3 linked regions of the Struthio camelus genome follow. The protein of the gene in region 1 purifies or fractionates together with the protein of each later gene. This does not show direct contact. Links are inferred from orthologs where the notes say so. Each region holds a gene or a part of one and is shown in the gene's direction. Other genes may lie near its edges. The genes, in order: ZC3H18, FUS and nuclear cap-binding protein subunit 1.

Region 1 (3,822 bases):
CCTGTCTGAGCACCCTCCCAGTGCCCAAGTGAGCACCCTCCAGCCCACCCCGAGCAAGCACCCTGGAAGCGCCCCAGGGAGAGGGAGCATCCTCTGGGCTGCCCCAGCAAGCACCCCAGCAGCCCACGCTGAGCGAGCACCCTGCGCTGCCGGCTCCACGGAGCCTGGCTTCCCAGCACGCTCGCCCCAGGGGATTCTCCGCTGGCTGCTAGTGCGGTTGGGCTGCCGCGGGCCCCACGGCCCTGGCTCAGCCCCTGCTTGCATGAGGCAAGAGCATCCGGGACGGCTGCCCTGCGCCGTCCGAGGCCACGCCGGGTCTGCGAGCCAGGAGAGCGGGCAGCAGACAGCTGGCTCCCTTGGGAAGGGCCGACGGGCTCGGCGCGGCGGGGTTGCAAAAGCGCAGCCCGAGCCTGAGGCGGCCGGAGGCGAAGGCGAGCGGCCCGGCCACAGTCCGTGGCCCGGTGGAGACGCTGGCCCCAGGAGCGCGTGCCCGGCCCCCAGCCCCGAACCGCCGTCCCTGCTGCTCTGGAGCACCCCCGAGGCGCCGAGCTGCTCCCAGCAAGCCCGGCACGGTGCTGCGTCCTGGCGCTCTGCCGCCGGCGCGCTGGGCAGGTTCCCTGCGGGCTGCCGCCCTCCGGGGCGTTGCCGGCCCCGGCGCGGGCAGCAGCCCCTGCGGAGGGCTCGGTGCAGAGGGCCTGGCCGCTGCCCGGCTGGGGGGACTGCCCGCTCCGTCCTCGGGGGGCCGGGCCCGGCCGCAGCGCCACGGGGAGGTGCTCCCAGGGCCAGGCGGGCTGCGCCGCTGCCGGGAGCCGTCGCCTGCACGTGTGCCGGCATGCTTCTGCGTGCACGTCCATACGTCCTCCACGTGCACGTGTGCACCTGTAGGTCCAGGTGCGCACCACCACCTGCATGTATGCTCCCAAGAACACCTATACGCCCAGCTCCGGGCGTGCACGCGTTTAGGTCTGCCTTAGCGTGCGCGCGCACACGTCTGCGTGCACGCAGGGGTCTGACTGCACGTTCACAGGCGCGCCTAGCTCGGCGAGCGCACCTGCACGGCTGCGCGCCCGCGGACACGCGTGTCGAGCCCCCGCCTTCGCGCACGCGTGCGCCCCTCCCGGCGTGTGCATGCAGGTGCTCGCTCCGCTTGCATGCCTCCCACCCCCCCCGCCTGCCTGCGGGAACCCCCCCGCCTGGGTGTTCGTGCACCCCCCCCTCCCCACCTGCACCCGTCTGCACCCGCCACGTGCGCACGCGTGCATGTGGACTCCTCCACGCGTGTGCGTGCAGGCGAGCCCCCCACTACCCCGGGCGCGCGCGCCTGCACGTGCACCTGCCCGCACACGCGCGTGTCCCCCCCCCCCCGACCACCACCCCGCCGCCAGCGCCCCACCCACGCGGGGCCGCCGAAGCGCGCGTCCCCTTTAAGGCGCGGGCGGGGCGGTGGCGGCGCGCGTGCGCGTGCGCGCGTGCGCGCGAGCAGGACGAGCGCGCCCGCCCCCCCCCTCCCCGGCGCGAAGGCCGTCGCGCCCGGATGACGTCACGCCATGGCCGCCCTGCGCCGCCGCGAGTAGAGGCCCCGGCCCGTCCCGCGCCCCGCGCCGGAGCCGCTTCCCCGCCGCCGCCCGCCGCCGTCCTTCTCGCCCCGGCTCCCGGCTCCGGCCTCGGCTCCGGCTCCGGCCCGCCCCGCTCCGCCCGCCCAGGTGAGCCGCTGCCCGCCTGGCCGCGCTCCGCGGGCGCCGGCCGCGGCCTAGCGCCCGCGAGGGGGGGCGGGCCCGGGCGCCGGGGAAGCGGGGGAGGGGCGGCCCCGGGCGGGGGGCGCTGGGAAGGGGGGGGGGCCGTGTATTTGGGGAGGGGGTCCTGGGATGGGGGGTCAGCCCCGATGGGGATGGTGTTTGGGGGGAGGGGTCAGCCCAGTGGGAGGGGGTCCTGGGATGGGGGGTCAGCCCAGGTGGGGGTGGTGTTGGGGGGGGCAGCCCAGTGGGAGGGGGCCCTGGGATGGGGGGAGCTTAGGGAAGGGGGGGGCAGCCCAGGTGGGGGGCCCTGGGAAGGATCTAGCCTAAGTGGGGGTGATGTTGGGGGGGGGGTCAGCTCAGCTGTGTGGTGGTGAGGAAGGGTTGGGGGGCAGCCCTGGTGGGGGGTGCTGAGAGGGAGGGGCAGCAATGGCTGGAGGTGGGGTGATGGGGGACAGCCCTAGTTGGGGGGGGACTGCTAGGATGGGGGGCACCCCCCAGATGGGAAGGCTGGGGGGCACAGCCTGTAGTTTGCGGGAGGATTTGGGTGGGGGGGGTGTTGAGGGGGAAGAGTCCTAGTTTGGCGGGGGGGGGAGTGTGCAGCCTGGCCACCAGGTACAGGAAGGGCTGACTGTCTCCCTTCGCAGGCAGGTGGGAGCAGGGAGAGCTCCAGAAAGACCTCAGCCTGGCAGGAGGCCCTGTGAGGTAAGGGAGGCCCCAGGGGAGCTGGGGGCAAGGGGGTGGAGAAGGACTGGGGCGCTGCAGCGGCCACGCATTCGGGTGCTTTCTCTGATGGGTCAGGAGCGTCCTCGCTGACTGCCACGGGATGGGGAAGTCGCGCTGCCCAGTCCTCTGGGTCGACAGGGTGGTCTGTGTGCTGCGCACCCGTGCAATGCCTGTTGGTCTCGCCTGTGCAGCGAAACAGCAGCTGTAAGGCTCTCTCTGCTCAGAGCTCTGGTCACTTTTGTAAGTGTTCCAAAATGTGGCTGCTGCGGGTGGTTTAAATTCTATGAGTTTCTTCAACAGAGCTCTCTCTTCTTCAGAGCTGTTCTTTTTGGGATGTGCACTAACAATTTTTTATTTTATTGCCATCAGTAATTCAGCTTTTCTGACACGGCCATTAACAGCGCTGTTTTGGCCGTAGCAAGAGCAGCATCTGCAAGGTGTGATTCTTTCTCCTGATCTTCTTAAGGTTTGTCTAGGTTAAGGAAAAAGGTCAAGGTCTCTTCCTAATCAAGTCAATTCCTTGCAAGCCATCTCATCCAATGTTCTGAGTGGAATGAGACTCCAGAGCGTGATTATTTATGAATCCTACAGAATGCAGGAACAATTGCACTTATTTTTTCTCATGGGAATGAGGCTCCTGTAATTCAAAGTTAATGTTCAGTGTGGAGCTGCAGAAAGAGTGATGCATGTCCTAGTAACAGGAGAATCCATTACACTGTGAAAACAAACTTCAGCTATTTACAGCTTCATTTTTGTTCATGTTCAGGTATCAGTCTTAAAGCCTGCCTGACACAAAGCAGTTGACTAGCACTAGTATGGTGTTTGGTGTTAAAATTCTGGATCAGACCTCTGTAAGCTCTTCTTAAAAAAAAAAAAAAAAAAAAAAGCTGAAAATGGCTGTCACCAAGTAGTTCTCTCAAATTAGTACTGAGAGGCAGCTTAGTTTTCTGCATTAAAAGGTTTTCTGACAGCTGCTAGAAAATTGAAGTTTGTTATGCATCTTCAAAGTCGGTGCTCCTCTAAGGATGTCAGATAGGTATGTATTCTATTTTAATTAATCCTGTTAACAATCAGAGTTTCATTCAGAACAAAGACCTGGGTGCTCTGCTTTTGTTCTACGCATCCTTTCGGCTTTACATGATGTTCCTTTTCTAGATTGTGATGCATCTTATTTCCTTCTCTTCCTGTTGTTGCTGCTCTTCCACGTTTTCCCCATTGTGATTCCCTCCATTCATTTCTGGTTTGCTTCTGTTTTCCACTTCTGTCCCACAAATGTTTTTGTGCTCTGTTTCTTTTTTAGCTTGTCCTGTCAGCCCTATTTCTCATTCTTTCCCCTCAAACCCGCCCATCATTCTTCATCCAT
Region 2 (3,822 bases), on another chromosome or scaffold:
CACCGTTGTCTTCCTCGGGGTCCTGTCCTTCCTCCTCGGGGTCACCATCCTCCTCCTCGGGGTCCTGTCCTTCCTCCCTGGGGGTCACCGTCGTCTTCCTCGGGGTCCCGTCCTTCCTCCTCGGGGTCCCGTCCTTCCTCCTCGGGGTTGGCCCTATAGGAGCCCCTGGAGACCCCCCCACTGGCCCTATACGACCCCCATAGGCCCCTTGCCCAGCGCCAGGCCCTATACAACCCCCCCAGCTCCCCCCACCGCTCCCTAGGTGGGGCCGGCCCCTATAGACCGCCGCGGGCTCCCTACCCCGTGCTGGACCCTATAGAGCTCCGTACGCGGCACCGGACCCTATAGGGGCCCCGTAGGCTCCCGGGGCTGTTTTTAGCCCTGACATTTGGGGGCGGCCAAATCCTGGGAGGGAAGGGGTGGGTGGGGGGTCTATATGGGGCAGATCTATAGGGGGAGTCTATAGGGGGCCCCGCCAACGCCATGGGGGGGCCGTCCCCCGCCCAGGGCGGCGTTTTACGCCCGAGAAAGGCGTTTTTGGGGGCTTTTTGTGCCCTTCCCGACGGCACCTGGCGCCCCTGGAGACCCCCCAGTGGGGGTCAAGCCTATAGGGGCCCGTGGAGAGGGCTGAACCCTATAGGGGCCCGTGGAGACCCCCCGGGGGGAGGCTGCATGTGGAGGCCGCTATAGGGCAGGAGCTCCTTATAGGGCACAGAGTCCCTATAGGGCAGGGGCTCCCTATAGGGCAGGCACCGCTATAGGGCAGGAGCTCCCTATGGGGCACAGACTCCCTATAGGGCAGGGCCCCTATAGGGCAGGGGCTCCCTATAGGGCACAGACTCCCTATAGGGCAGGAGCTCCCTATAGGGCACAGACTCCCTATAGGGCAGGGGTTCCATATAGGGCAGGGCCCCTATGGGGCAGGGGCTCCCTATATGGCACAGAGTCCCTATAGGGCAGGAGGTCCCTATAGGGCAGGGCCCCTATGGGGCAGGCACCGCTATAGGGCACAGGCTCCCTATGGGGCAGGCACTGCTATAGGGCACAGGCTCCCTATGGGGCAGGGGCTCCCTATGGGGCAGGGGTTCCCTATGGGGCAGGGGCTCCCTATAGGGTCTCCATGGGGGGGGCAGGGCTGGCCGTAGGGTCCCCGCGGAGCTGGGGGGCGGTTCCTGGGGACCCCCTATAGGCCCCTTATAGCCCCTCCCCATAGGCTCCCTATAGGGCCCCCTACAGGCCCCCTATAGGCTGCTTGGGAGGGGGCGGGACCAGGCGCCTCCCCCCTCTCTCCCCCCCCCCGCCGCCGCCGCGAATGGTCTCGCCCCGCCTGCCCGGCCCCGCCCCTCCCTTCCCTCGGCGCGTTCCATCCCGCAGGGAGGGAGGGGGGGGGAGGGAGAAGGCGGAGGCGGTGCCGACCGGGGGGGGGGGGGAACCCGCTTGGCTCCCTCCTCCCCCTCCCCCCGAGCCCGCGCGTGGCGGTGGTACGGTCCGGCGGAAGCTATAAAAAGGCGGCGGGCGGCGGGCGGGGGCGCAGTGCGGGGCAGGGCGGGCGCGGGTGCGCCACGTGTGAGGGGAGGGGGGAGGAAAGGGGGGGAGCAAAGAAAGGGCGCCGGAGCAGCGCGACACCGCCATGGCCTCCAACGGTGAGGGGGGCCGCCGGTACCGGGAAGGGGGGGGATGTCCCTAGCTCGGCGCTCGCCGCCCCGTTTCCTCTTAATTTTACCTACGGGAGCGATAAGCGAGATAGAGATTTTTTTTTTTTAATCGTTATGGGGGGGGGGTGTTGCCCCCCCCACACGCTTTGCGAACCGCGCGGCCCCCAGGGTGGGATTGGGTTTTTTTTTAACGTTTAATCTCCTCATGCGTTGGCGGTGCGCGGGTTTTTTTGCAGCTTGTTGTGGGTGTTTTTTTTTTTTGGGGGGGGGTGATATAACGGGTAGTTCCCCCCCCCCCCCACCGCTTACGGAGCGGCACGGTGGTGCCGCCGGGGGTGTTGCTGGCGGCCCGGATGCGGGAAGCGGTGGCGGTGGGGAGGGAAAAATGAGCATAAGTGACTGAAAGAAGAGGGAAAAGGAAGGTTCTGGAAGGGAGGCGAAGCCTTTGAAGGCGGGGATGGGGGGGGAGGGAGGAGGGAGCCCTTTGGTTCCCGCGGCTGCCGGCCGCCATTTTGTGTGGCGCGGGGGCGGGGCGCCGCTTTTCCAACTGCGCCACTCGCGGGCGCCATTTTGTGCGTGGTGGCGGCGGGAGGGTGGGGGCGACGGCGCATGCGCGGCGGCGGCGGGAGAGGGGGGGACGCGCGGCGGAGCGCGCATGCGCGGCGGGAGAGGGGGCGCGACGCGGCGGCGCATGCGCGGCGGCGGGAGAGGGGGACGCGCGGCGGAGCGCGCATGCGCGGCGGCGGCGGGAGAGGGGGGCGCGACGCGGCGGCGCATGCGCGGCGGCGGGAGGGGGAGCGCGCATGCGCGGCGGTGGCTGCCGCAGTCCGACATCCGGGGACTTAAAAGTGTGTGTGTGTGGGGGGGGGGGGATAATATGAAGGTGCCCGAGGCGGGTAAATACCCGCCGCGGCCTGGGTGAATATTGCTGGGCTTATTGATGGGGGGGGGAATCGCTTCCTCTTGCGGTGTGGGGGAGGGGTAACGGTCCGCTCCCGACAAAGCGGAGAGAAATCAGCGCTTGTTGTCTTTGTTGGTGGGGAAACATCGTTTCTGGCGCTTTCGGGGGGGGGAAGACGGTGGTTTGGGGGCGTTGGTGGAGCTGGGCGCGCTTCGTTTGGTGTTTGGCGCCGTAACCGTAGCGCCCGTAACAAGTGAGGGGCTGGGCTGGGGAATAAACGCCACCTTCCAGGTTAGAGCGTGTCGGGGTGGGCAAACGGACCCCCCCCCCACCCCCAGGCTGGGTGCTTGTGCCCCCGGCTGCGCCCTGGGGGAGAGGGGTCGGCCTTCGTCCCCGCCGCTGGGGTTCTTCTCGGGGCTCCCAGCGTGCGGCTGAAGCCCTGGCTCGGGGGGAGGGTGGGAGCCGCCCCCCCCCCCGGCTCTGCTCGCGGCGGGTCCCCTTCCGGCCTTCCCCAGGGCCGGAGAGGCCTCAGACGCTCCCTGCCCGCCTCCCGAAACGCGGCGATCCCGGCGGGCGGGCGGGCGACGCGTCGCGCGAGCCGTGAGGAAACGGCGGCGACGCGATGGCGTGTCCCTTCCTCTTTCCTCTCGCAGATTACAGCCAGACGGCAACCCAGAGGTACGTCGCAGCTCGGGGCGTTGCGCGCGGGGCGGGGGAACGCGGCCGGGCCGCGGCCGGGCCGCGGCTCCTCCGGCGGCGTTTGCCGCCCCCGCGCTGGGCCTGACGGCGCCTTTCTCCCCTCCCTCGCTGGGCCGCCAGCTACGGGGCGTACCCCACCCCGCCGGGGCAGGGCTACTCGCAGCAGAGCAGCCAGCCCTACGGGCAGCAGAGCTACAGCGGTTACAGCCAGTCCACCGACACCTCGGGCTACGGGCAGAACAGCTACAGCTCCTCCTACGGCCAGACCCAAAGCAGTGAGTGTGGCCGGCGCCTGCCGGCCTTGCGGGGACGGGGCCCCTCCGCCGTGCCCGCAGGAGCTTTCCTTCCTCCTCCTCCTCCTCCTCTCTCCCAGCTGGCTACAGCACCCAGTCGACGCCGCAGGCCTACGGCACGAGCAGCGGCTACGGCGGCAGCCAGTCGTCGCAGACCTCCTACGGGCAGCCCTCCTCCTACCCCAGCTACTCGCAGCCGCCGGCGGCCAGCTCCTCCACCGGCAGGTAGCCGCCGGGCCGCGGGGGTTTCGGGGCGGGGGGCGACCCCCCTCCG
Region 3 (3,822 bases), on another chromosome or scaffold:
TGGACCCTGACTGCTTAGCTCACAGAAATGCACACTTCCCAGTGCAATCCCAGCCAGTCTGAGGCACACATTCCCTTAGAATCAGCTAATCCCAGGCAGCAGCCTTGGAGAAATGTACCCCATTTACTTTAGGGTGGCAGGAGGGAAGCAATGCTCTGATGTGTTGCATAATCAAGGTGTGCAGGAACACAAGTTGATGACAGGTCAGCAGTGCCTGTTCCCCATCCTCGGGACAACTAAGCGTTACATTTGAATCACAACTCCGGCCTCACACAGCCTCTCCAGTGGCCAACAGTCCTCGGCTGCCCGACGTGGCACCACCTCTCAGGTGCCCCCTCCTGGAGGCAGCAAGGAGGTACCCCTCCCTGTACTTGCAGGGCTCTCCCATGCCCCTGGGGGATGACATGGGGGCTGAAGAAAGGGGCACGTGGTCTCTCCAGCCATTTGATTGTAGAGGGACAGCAGGGATGCATACGGCTGTACCTGGATCTTGTTGGCCTGCTTTCACCAATGCGTGGGGCCAGTCTCCAGCGGGGGGGAGGGGGAAGGAGCTTAAGCTTAGTGCAGTGTTAGCACTGCACCCCAAAGTACCACGTCTGAGATCTCATCTCACTCAGCAGGGAGAATCACACATCTCCCCAATCCCTGCATCCATCACTTTTCCATCGCCCTGGAAACGCTTCGTGGGAGGGACCCAGCAGCATTCTCGATCCAGCGGCTCAGGTAATATACATGCCACCAGGCGTCAGCAAGACAGCCCAAGAGTGGGGCCCACAGTGCGCAATTCACACGCATGGTGGGCCGTCTTAGCCTTCAAGAGAGGCTAGGTGCGAGCCAGATGGAATAAGTGAATTTCACTTCATCGATAATTAACTAACTTTGTGTCTATTCTTTTCCCCATTTTAGAAATCATCCGAGTTCCTAGTACTATGGAGAAGCAGGTAGAGCAGCGCCCACTCCCATAGAGTTGCGGAAGTCAGGAGAAGAGAAGACAGTAGCTTTTCCTCCTGCTCTTTTACCCCGGAAGAAGACTGAGGCAAACAGGAAGTAGGGAAATACTCTGATCCTTGTTGCATAGTCTCTATATAGTGCTCTTCCTTCTTGCCTCCTGCTGTGGGGTACGGTATTCCTGCTTCTCTGCAGATTTTGTGCAGTGGCAGTGCTGATATGTCACGGCGGCGGCACAGTGACGAGAGTGATGGTAAGCGTGGATGGATGGAGTACCAGGGTCTGGACTCCGCATGCCCTGTGCTTGGGGCCGCGTCGTCCTTGGGGCTGGGGGAGGAACAGATCTCAGCTGAAGTGCCTTTTCCCCTCCTCCTCCTCCTCCTTCCCCCCCCCGCGGCGCTGCCTTGCCTTAGACTCGGGGTGGTAGGGATTCACTCTGTCCCTCTGCCAGGACTTGGTCCTGCTCGTCGCCCTACGGGACGCTGTAGTGAGGCGCTCCATGGGGTGCAGGATCGTTCCTGGGCCGCCTTTCCTAGCTGTTTGGCTGGGGACAACCTGGCGCCACTGTGGGGCGCTCTGGTGTAAGGACCTGGCTTGTGTAACTAGGGCTACAGACTGTCCCTAAGCAGTCTCTTGGGTCCGCCCTAAATATAGGGAGTAGCAAACTGATCGGAGCACGCTGCGCTGCGTACGGATCGCCAGAAGGACATGTTCTTGTATCTTGTAAAGGCTTTCATGAAAAACGTTCAGAAAACATTCATATTGGAGGACTAGAGACGGCTTCAGAAACTGAAACGGATGTTTCTTTTAATAACGTAATTCTGCATTAGTGGAGAATGGGACAGTTTCATGACCAGCTTTTTCAACTTTTAATTGCAAAGATAAACACTCTAAAAAACACTCTATGTGTTTTTTAACTACACTCTTTTTTCTTAATTGTTTTGATGTGCAGTCTTTTTCTAAGCTTTCAAAAAAACCCTAATAATATAAGCAAGGATTCTTAAAATATTTTATTTTTTCATATGCTGAAAGCATGTGAAAAAGCACTAAGGAAATATGAAATAGCTGGTAACTCTAATGTGGGTTTAGCTTATCCCACATATACTGTCTCACACTGTAGCAGAAATGCAGAATTAACCCTAAATAAAATTTGAGATAGCTACAATGTTAACTGTTTATGCTTCATGGACTAGGTCATCAGTAATATGGGTATACTTCTGTTTTTCATGTTTATTGGGTCAATCTTGAATGCTTTGTCAGTTTTGGGGTTTTTTGTTTGTTTGTTTTTAATAGTATGTTGCTGGAATGGCAAAAGTATATAGAGAACTTTTTTCTTTTTTAAAAAGCAGGCAGCTAATAACATATTTAATGTATTGAAACAGGGCAACCTCACAAAAGGAGGAGAACATCTGAGCCATCTGAAATCGAGGAGAGACTTGAATCTTTAATATGCAGGGTGGGAGAAAAGGTATCAGTACTATTTCCATGTTGTTTTGTGGCTTAGGGTCCTTAAACATAATAGATTGTTTTCTTTGTTTTATATGCTGCTATGTGTTAGTAGTTCACTAGTGGTCCAAAAAGAGAAAATCCTTATCTGAGATCAGTTGGAAACTTTTTAACTGGAAAATTGTTGGCCTTTGCAAAACTGGATTTTTAAAAAGGAAATTCTTAAATGTTAAACCTTTGATACATTGGTGAAGTATAACTAATAAAGAGGTATCATTCAAAATCTGTGAACATTATCATTAATTTCCCCCTACTCCTTGGAAAATTTGAAAGCAATGAGATGCGTACAAAAAAAAAAAGAAAAAAGTCTAGCCGTGTTACAACTGATCTTGGAACCTGGCTGGGTTTGGTGTTAGTAACAAGTGGAGAGAAAAAAGGATGAGGACAAAAATGATGGGTCTTAACATTAATTTAGCCACATACAAGCTGTGAAGTTCTTTCACTTCCCCTGATGTCATTAATATAATGTTTAATTCAGTTATTGAGAGATCTCTGAGGCTATGTTAACCCTTGCTTCCCAGGAAAGCACTAGAGCTCCTTGCTGTGGAGAACTCACAATTGAGACTGTTCTTAGTCATTTCTACTTCTTATTTCTAGCAAATGAGAGAGATTGTGCATTCCTAATGGATTTGAATAATTACTTCCAACAAGAAGAAAATGTGAAGTAATATTTTGTTTCATCTGATTTGCTTGTCTTCCAGTTGTTACTGAGGGGATAGTTGATATGCCTGATTGATGCGGAAACACTGTTTTCTTTCTTAGAGTACTTCCTCTCTGGAGAGCAACTTGGAGGGCCTAGCTGGTGTCTTGGAAGCTGATCTACCAAACTATAAAAGCAAGATTTTGAGAATTCTTTGTACTGTGTACGTATGCAGGAGATTTGTGAGATGCTCTGTTATCTATATTAAATAGATAAGTTTAAGTATTTTAAGTACTTTAAATGCTGTGAAGAGCTGTTAGTTCTTGAACACTGTTATAGCTTAGGGTTTGTCTTACTCCAGGCAAGAGAAATTTGAGAAGAAGCTTAGTCAGTAGTAGATATAAATCAAGGAAAATGCCTCTGTACAGTACTCTCACTTGAAATGTGTGCACAAGGTCATAAGCAGATAGAGTAGACCCCAGAGCTGCTTTCTGACTGCCATGGGGAATATGCTGGGTAGTATCTTGTTTCTGAATGCAACAGTCACTAAAAAAATACCAAATCGATTGAGTGCCAGTTCTTATCTCTGTATTCCTACTTTGCCTATTCCCCTTTTCTGGGGCTGAGGTGCTCCTGTCTCCATGAGCCCACCATCTAGTAGTGGAGAGACAAAGTAGCCAGAAGTAGGCTCCTTCCTTGGCTAGCAGCACTCCTTCTTCTCCCTAGCA

What was found.
Region 2: the proteins of ZC3H18 (region 1) and FUS purify together in Homo sapiens (affinity purification with mass spectrometry; 3 studies listed by BioGRID and IntAct, with this or other methods). This does not show direct contact. The link is inferred for Struthio camelus from reciprocal best matches to the Homo sapiens genes ZC3H18 and FUS.
Region 3: the proteins of ZC3H18 (region 1) and nuclear cap-binding protein subunit 1 purify together in Homo sapiens (co-immunoprecipitation; 3 studies listed by BioGRID and IntAct, with this or other methods). This does not show direct contact. The link is inferred for Struthio camelus from reciprocal best matches to the Homo sapiens genes ZC3H18 and NCBP1.

Annotation. Positions count from the first base shown.
Region 1 is NC_090951.1:2,519,035-2,522,856, reverse strand, and holds the start of ZC3H18 (zinc finger CCCH domain-containing protein 18), read left to right. Parts: upstream 1-1,514; 5' UTR 1,515-1,703; intron 1,704-2,380; 5' UTR 2,381-2,438; intron 2,439-2,491; exon of another isoform or gene 2,492-3,822.
Region 2 is NC_090973.1:351,570-355,391, reverse strand, and holds the start of FUS (RNA-binding protein FUS), read left to right. Parts: upstream 1-1,514; 5' UTR 1,515-1,630; coding exon 1,631-1,643; intron 1,644-3,209; coding exon 3,210-3,234; intron 3,235-3,375; coding exon 3,376-3,530; intron 3,531-3,628; coding exon 3,629-3,773; intron 3,774-3,822. UniProt on the Homo sapiens protein: DNA/RNA-binding protein that plays a role in various cellular processes such as transcription regulation, RNA splicing, RNA transport, DNA repair and damage response. Binds to ssRNA containing the consensus sequence 5'-AGGUAA-3'.
Region 3 is NC_090981.1:12,386,230-12,390,051, forward strand, and holds the start of nuclear cap-binding protein subunit 1, read left to right. Parts: upstream 1-1,012; 5' UTR 1,013-1,167; coding exon 1,168-1,201; intron 1,202-2,330; coding exon 2,331-2,416; intron 2,417-3,216; coding exon 3,217-3,317; intron 3,318-3,822. UniProt on the Homo sapiens protein: Component of the cap-binding complex (CBC), which binds cotranscriptionally to the 5'-cap of pre-mRNAs and is involved in various processes such as pre-mRNA splicing, translation regulation, nonsense-mediated mRNA decay, RNA-mediated gene silencing (RNAi) by microRNAs (miRNAs) and mRNA export.